Linked DNA regions of Xenopus tropicalis. The protein of the gene in region 2 interacts with the protein of the main gene of each other region in a biochemical or structural test. Links are inferred from orthologs where the notes say so. Each region holds a gene or a part of one and is shown on either strand. Other genes may lie near its edges.

Region 1 (3,656 bases), on a different chromosome or scaffold from region 2:
GGTGCATTAAGACTATGGTGGCCATTGCTTATTTATTTCAGTTATATACTATACTTTGGCTGTTTTTTAAAGGTATCCTTTTCACTATATAAAAGTAGCAGAACACGGAAAAATGTATGTCTGAAAAGAAACGTCATCATTTCCCAAATAAAGGAATTCCTGAGAGCTCTCCATAGCAGTTTGCAAAATACTGGGTTTAAGGATTACAGGTTTTAGCCGTCAGACAAAAGGCAGCAATTATGGTATCAGAGTTTCCAGTCCCCCGCACAGCAGACAGAAGAAAGCTGGTGCCCACAGAGGTTATGGCATACTGTATACCGGTGCTGGGAATAATTATTTGTCTCTATGAGCTGAGGCTGAGATGGAAGGGCAGGGGGCACATTTAATGATGGCCTCAGCTGAGAAGTTATGAAACGTCCATGGCAGTAAACGAAGCAGCAGATTCAATGATACAATTCTATGCTTGTCAGGAGAAGTGACGGCAAAAGCAGTTTTTGACTTAAAGCGCCCGTAGGGCAGCACTCTCTGAAATAGCAGGCAGCCCCTTTAGTAGTTGATGCTTTTCAGGGTAATGGAAGGATGCAAAGTAATCTAAGCTAAAGGAAGGCTGTAAGCATCAACCCTCTCCATTTAAAAACTGAGGTTGAAGCACTGGATCAAACACTTGCCAGGTATCCACTTATCCTCTTATTAGTTACGGCTGCACCCCACAGCTCTTAGTAACCGAAGTTTGAAAATAAAGAAGCAACAACCAGAGGGTAATTATCCTATGTCTGTGAGCCATGTACATGCCAAAAGGTAATTCAGACATAGGAAATCTAAAAAAGCACCATCTAATCTCAGTATTATCTGTGTAATGTTATGTTAACATTGTGGCTAAAGGGAAGGAAAAGGAAAAACTAGAACAGACTGTAAGTTAATTACTTTATTGCTGTTCAGGGTGCCCTGGAGGACCGCAAGGAAGTGACGGAGACAGGACCATAACAGGGCTAGGGGAGCCAGGAAGGTGTTAAATTGCAAGGGGTTGTGGGAAATGTATTTCAAAAGGTGTTTGTCTGGAGGCTGTAGGAAGAGAGTGAAGGGTATAGAACAGGAGGAGTCAGTCACCATTTACTTTTGCAGCTCCCTTAGCTTATCGGGGGGTAATAATAATAGCAGGGAGAGTGTTGGCGTAAGTGGTGGCAGGAGTGGTTTAAGTCTGAGGCTAGCAATTTTGTGTATCAACCACTGTCAAAAGGGCAGGGTTGGCTGTGGCCTTTTCCACCCATAAATAGTGGTGCCTCTTTAAGTGTTTTAGTTTAAAATGGGTGCTGATTGTGGTGGTGGAAAGGGTCCAAGATGCTGCCCATATCATGTGGAATCTACCTGTAAAACTGGACCCTGTAGAGAGGGAAATTTCCTAGTCTGACGCCTTCAGCATAGATAGAGATCCCTGCAAACATTGATGTTCATCTGAGCCCTTTTGCAGCCTGCTAATCTACTGAGATCCAACTCACTACAGGTTACCAGATGGGCAAGACACAGAGATTCAGGAGTCCCAGGGAGTAGAAGTTGTAGTTGGTATGCAGCCAAAAGTCAGAGCCAGTGGCAAACCTCAGAGTCTGTTCTCAAGCCATTCCCACATACAGGCAAGGCTTAATAACAAGACAGAAGGAGAGTCTGTGCAGTGTTGAAAGGGGCTCTAGCATATTCTGTAGAAAAAGATATGCCGGCTTGGGCAAAGACTAGACTACACACACATGTGTGACTGGTGGTGAGCATATCCTGGCATAAATTAACAGGCATACCAGCAGAGATGCACGTTCTATACACCTGAGAGAGTGCCTTACCACGTGTATAATCTCAACAATGCACTTAGTCTCCTGCCAACTAAACAATGCTAAACAATAATTATATAATATGTAGATGTATATGTGAAAGTGCCTGATTTATTAACATTTGATACTTTTGTCCTGTACAAATTAAAAATGTATTTTTGAGTCCTGCTATTGTTCTTATGGCTTAGAGTCCAGCTCTTAGTATCAGGATGCTCTGCAATTCTGCATTTCTCTTTCCACAGTGGAATTTCCCTGCTGATTCTAAAGCAGCAGAGCCTCAACTCCCTACAGTTTCAGTCACTCAAAGAGATCAGTGCTGGGAATGTATATATCACTGATAACCGTAACCTGTGCTATTACCATACCGTCAACTGGACATCTCTCTTCCGGACATCCAACCAGAGAACCACTATCCGAGAGAACAAGAAGCCAGAAAACTGCAGTAAGTTCCATTATTCATTTGTTTGCTCTTCGGAAGCATTGTTTTGGTTGGTGAAAACTTTTTGTAGAAATATGTTTACGAAAAAACTACTTTTATGTCACTGGTGCAATGTTATTATTAGTCCCTGTTTCCTGGTGACAGGCCCTGTTTCAGTGTCTCTTTTTAGTGTCCCCAGCACAGTCCCCCAATTCAGTGTTAAAGCCACAGTTACATTAATTAATCCATATGTGGACATTGGCTGTACATGTTATCAGTAGCAGTTGCTCTGCCCTAGTCATTTGGTACTTGGCACACTTAACCAGGAAAATAGGGTAGCAATTATATTATTTCAGATGCATTCTTTTTTCTACTTACAAAACACTTAGGGGCTAGAGATGTAGCGAACCTCACAAAAAAAGTTAGCGAACCCGTTCGCGAACTTCTGCCAAAAAGTGCGAACTTTTGCGAACTTTGCGAACCCCATAGACTTCAATGGGAAGGCGAACTTTAAAACCTAGAAAAGCCATTTCTGGCCAGAAAACTGATTTTAAAGTTGTTTAAAGGGTGCCACGACCTGGACAGTGGCATGCAGGAGGGGGATTAAGGGCAAAAATGTCTCTGAAAAATACTTTGTTGACACAGCATTGCATTTTGTGCTGTAAAGGACAGAAATCACACTACATTTCTAAACTTGTGTAATAAACTGCTTTTACAAGGACTATTGGGTTATAGCAGATGATCAGCAGGACAGCTGCCCACAGCAGCTACATACAGAGCAGTAGAAAGTAGATTACTAGTCAGCAAAGCTACCTAAACTGTCCCTCAAACCCCTGCACAGCTCTCTCCCTATGCTAACTCATCAAGCACACACAGGCAGAATGTAAAATGGCTGCTGGGCTTCGGTTTATATATGGAAGGGAGTGGTCCGGGGGTGGTCCAGGAGGGAGAGCTGCCTGATTGGCTGCCATGTATCTGCTGGCTCTGGGGTGAGAGGTCAAAATTTGGCTCCAGCTAAGGCGAACCCAAAATTGCGAACTTCGCTAAAAGTTCGCGAACTTGCGAACTTGCGAACACCCGATTTTCGTGCGAATTAGTTCTCCGGCGAACAGTTCGCTACATCTCTATTAGGGGCAGATTTATCAAAATGTGAGTTTAGAACTTAATACATAGAAAATATAAAATACATATAAACTAACTCTAACTTTCACCCATTGAAAAATATGCTTCTTAAATTCCCATTGGAATGAATAGAATGTGGGTGAGTTTTTCACGTATTAAGCTCTCAACTCACATTTTAATAAATCTGCCCCATACATTACTCTAGTGTGGGCTGGTTCAGCTTTGTAGACAAACCTGAGGTTTCTACAGTTTTACAACATTCTGTAACTTCTCTCAGCATGGCCAAAGTGGTGGCATCA
Region 2 (3,656 bases):
AGTATGAGGGTACAGCTTATTGTGTGCCCAGAACATTCCTTCTCTGTATATTTGTATTTATACATATGGGAGGGAGGTGCCATAGTGTTTCCCTTAGACAGTACAGTATGAGGGTACAGCTTATTGTGTGCCCAGAACATTCCTTCTCTGTATATTTGTATTTATACATATGGGAGGGAGGTGCCATAGTGTTTCCCTTAGACAGTACAGTATGGGGGTACAGCTTATTGTGTGCCCAGAACATTCCTTCTCTGTATATTTGTATTTATACATATGGGAGGGAGGTGCCATAGTGTTTCCCTTAGACAGTACAGTATGAGGGTACAGCTTATTGTGTGCCCAGAACATTCCTTCTCTGTATATTTGTATTTATACATATGGGAGGGAGGAGCCATATTATTTCCCTTAGACAGTACAGTATGAGGGTACAGCTTATTGTGTGCCTAGAGCATTCCTTCTCTGTATATTTGTATTTATACATATGGGAGGGAGGTGCCATAGTGTTTCCCTTAGACAGTACAGTATGGGGGTACAGCTTATTGTGTGCCCAGAACATTCCTTCTCTGTATATTTGTATTTATACATATGGGAGGGAGGTGCCATAGTGTTTCCCTTAAGCTGGCCATACACGTGGCGATCTCACGATGTTTCGTACGACCGTCGGTCGCACGAAACATCGTCAGATCCGCCACACACCATTCAGGGCTGAATCGGCAGGTAAGGAGGTAGAAACAATAGGATTTCTACCTCCTTCTGCCGATTCAGCTCTGAAGGGAGAATTTTGGTCAGGCGCCTTCTATGGCGCCCGATCAAAATTTTCTAACTTGGCCGATCGGCGAGCCGACCGATTTCAGCAGCTTCCTGCGATATCGGTCGGCTCGCTGACATGCCATACACGCACCGATTATCGTACGAAACGAGGTTTCGTACGATAATATCGGTGCGTGTATGGCCACCTTTAGACAGTACAGTATGTGGGTTTAGCTTATTGTGTGCCCAGAACATTCCTTTTCTATATTCATATATATGGGCAGTCAAAAGCCTATCCAGTCCTTACCTTGCCATCAGACGCAGTATTGATCCTATAGTGGTACACTCTGCCCTCGTATCGTAAGGATATGGACCTCTGGCCTGGGCTGCTCTCACTTTCCCGCACCAAGAAGCTGCCATTAATCCCACTACTGAGCAGATATTCAGCAGCGTTGCGAGACACCGGCCCATGGTACCAGGAATGTTTCTCGGGGCTGTTCACCGGTGTGATGTAGTTACTGGGAACCCAACCTTGGCCATTTTTGGTTTGGGCCTCACACCACTCGCCATTGTGATTGTAGCCCAACACTCGCAGCTTCTCACCTATCGAAGTGAAGAGAAAATGTTGGATATTAGTCACTATTTATATAGCGCTATAGCACAGTGCATTACAGCGATTATCCATCATTCCCATCAGCCCCTGCCCCAGTGAGCTTACAATCTAAGGTCCCTATCACATTCCCATCAGCCCCTGCCCCAGTGAGCTTACAATCTAAGGTCCCTATCACATTCCCATCAGCCCCTGCCCCAGTGAGCTTACAATCTAAGGTCCCTATCACATTCCCATCAGCCCCTGCCCCAGTGAGCTTACAATCTAAGGTCCCTATCCCATTCCCATCAGTCCCTGCCCCAGTGAGCTTACAATCTAAGGTCCCTATCACATTCCCATCAGCCCCTGCCCCAGTGAGCTTACAATCTAAGGTCCCTATCACATTCCCATCAGTCCCTGCCCCAGTGAGCTTACAATCTAAGGTCCCTATCACATTCCCATCAGTCCCTGCCCCAGTGAGCTTACAATCTAAGGCCCCTATCCCATTCCCATCAGTCCCTGCCTCAGTGAGCTTACAATCTAAGGTCCCTATCACATTCCCATCAGCCCCTGCCCAGTGGAGCTTACAATCTAAGGTCCCTATCACATTCCCATCAGCCCCTGCCCCAGAAGAGCTTACAATCTAAGGTCCCTATGACATTCCCATCAGTCCCTGCCCCAGTGAGCTTACAATCTAAGGTCCCTATCACATTCCCATCAGCCCCTGCCCAGTGGAGCTTACAATCTAAGGTCCCTATCACATTCCCATCAGTCCCTGCCCCAGTGAGCTTACAATCTAAGGCCCCTATCCCATTCCCATCAGTCCCTGCCTCAGTGAGCTTACAATCTAAGGTCCCTATCACATTCCCATCAGCCCCTGCCCAGTGGAGCTTACAATCTAAGGTCCCTATCACATTCCCATCAGCCCCTGCCCCAGAATAGCTTACAATCTAAGGTCCCTATCACATTCCCATCAGTCCCTGCCCCAGTGAGCTTACAATCTAAGGTCCCTATCACATTCCCATCAGCCCCTGCCCAGTGGAGCTTACAATCTAAGGTCCCTATCACATTCCCATCAGCCCCTGCCCCAGAAGAGCTTACAATCTAAGGTCCCTATCACATTCCCATCAGCCCCTGCCCCAGTAGAGCTTACAATCTAAGGTCCCTATCACATTCCCATCAGTCCCTGCCTCAGTAAGCTTACAATCTAAGGTCCCTATCACATTCCCATCAGCCCCTGCCCCAATGAGCTTACAATCTAAGGTCCCTATCACATTCCCTTCAGTCCCTGCCCCAGTAAGCTTACAGTCGAAGGTCCCTATCACATTCCCATCAGCCCCTGCCCCAGTGAGCTTACAATCTAAGGTCCCTATCACATTCCCATCAGTCCCTGCCCCAGTGAGCTTACAATCTAAGGTCCCTATCACATTCCCATCAGTCCCTGCCTCAGTAAGCTTACAATCTAAGGTCCCTATCACATTCCCATCAGTCCCTGCCCCAGTGAGCTTACAATCTAAGGTCCCTATCACATTCCCATCAGTCCCTGCCCCAGTGAGCTTACAATCTAAGGTCCCTATCACATTCCCATCAGCCCCTGCCCCAGTGAGCTTACAATCTAAGGTCCCTATCACATTCCCTTCAGTCCCTGCCCCAGTAAGCTTACAGTCGAAGGTCCCTATCACATTCCCATCAGCCCCTGCCCCAGAGGAGCTTACAATCTAAGGTCCCTATCACACACAACACTAGGGGCTGTTTTATCAGGAGCCAATGAATCTGCCTGTATGTTTGGGAGGAAACCCACAAACCCGAATGGATAGTGGCCATTACTGAGAGGCCACAGGTTGGACTGCCCTATCTATATGAATAGCTGGACCTGTCAGTACTAAGGATGGCTCAGTGTCTGAAACTTCCATTCCAATCTGGCACAGGGATGCTGGCAGTGGCTACCTGATACCAACCCTATTATATACTGTATTACAAACAAACATGGACAGAACAGATTATCTGCCTTGGCTTCTCAGCTACACTGGCATAGTTCTGCCATCATTTCATGTAACGGTTCCATTAGGAACAGCCTGCCCAGGATTATTTATCTATACACATCCGTTACTGATCTTCCTGCTGCCCACTGAGCTTGGATACAGACACACAAACGTGCGACATCTCTAAACTATAAATAGCACTTGGAGCTTGAGTAAAGGGCAAGTAAAGAGCGGCCCTCCAGCCGCTGATAAGCTGCAAATCCCAGTACTACAGGAAAGAAGTTTCTTTATAAGGGGGATGTGGTTTAACAAGGGCTGGAGATCCTGCGGATGTT

Evidence for each region.
Region 1: the proteins of abl1 (region 2) and erbb4 form a complex in vitro, tested with the Homo sapiens proteins (2 studies listed by BioGRID and IntAct, with this or other methods). The link is inferred for Xenopus tropicalis from reciprocal best matches to the Homo sapiens genes ABL1 and ERBB4.

Annotation. Positions count from the first base shown.
Region 1 is NC_030685.2:57,168,674-57,172,329, reverse strand, and holds part of erbb4 (receptor tyrosine-protein kinase erbB-4), read left to right. Parts: intron 1-2,059; coding exon 2,060-2,259; intron 2,260-3,656. UniProt on the Homo sapiens protein: Tyrosine-protein kinase that plays an essential role as cell surface receptor for neuregulins and EGF family members and regulates development of the heart, the central nervous system and the mammary gland, gene transcription, cell proliferation, differentiation, migration and apoptosis.
Region 2 is NC_030684.2:12,809,717-12,813,372, forward strand, and holds part of abl1 (tyrosine-protein kinase ABL1), read right to left. Parts: intron 1,354-3,656; coding exon 1,058-1,353; intron 1-1,057. UniProt on the Homo sapiens protein: Non-receptor tyrosine-protein kinase that plays a role in many key processes linked to cell growth and survival such as cytoskeleton remodeling in response to extracellular stimuli, cell motility and adhesion, receptor endocytosis, autophagy, DNA damage response and apoptosis.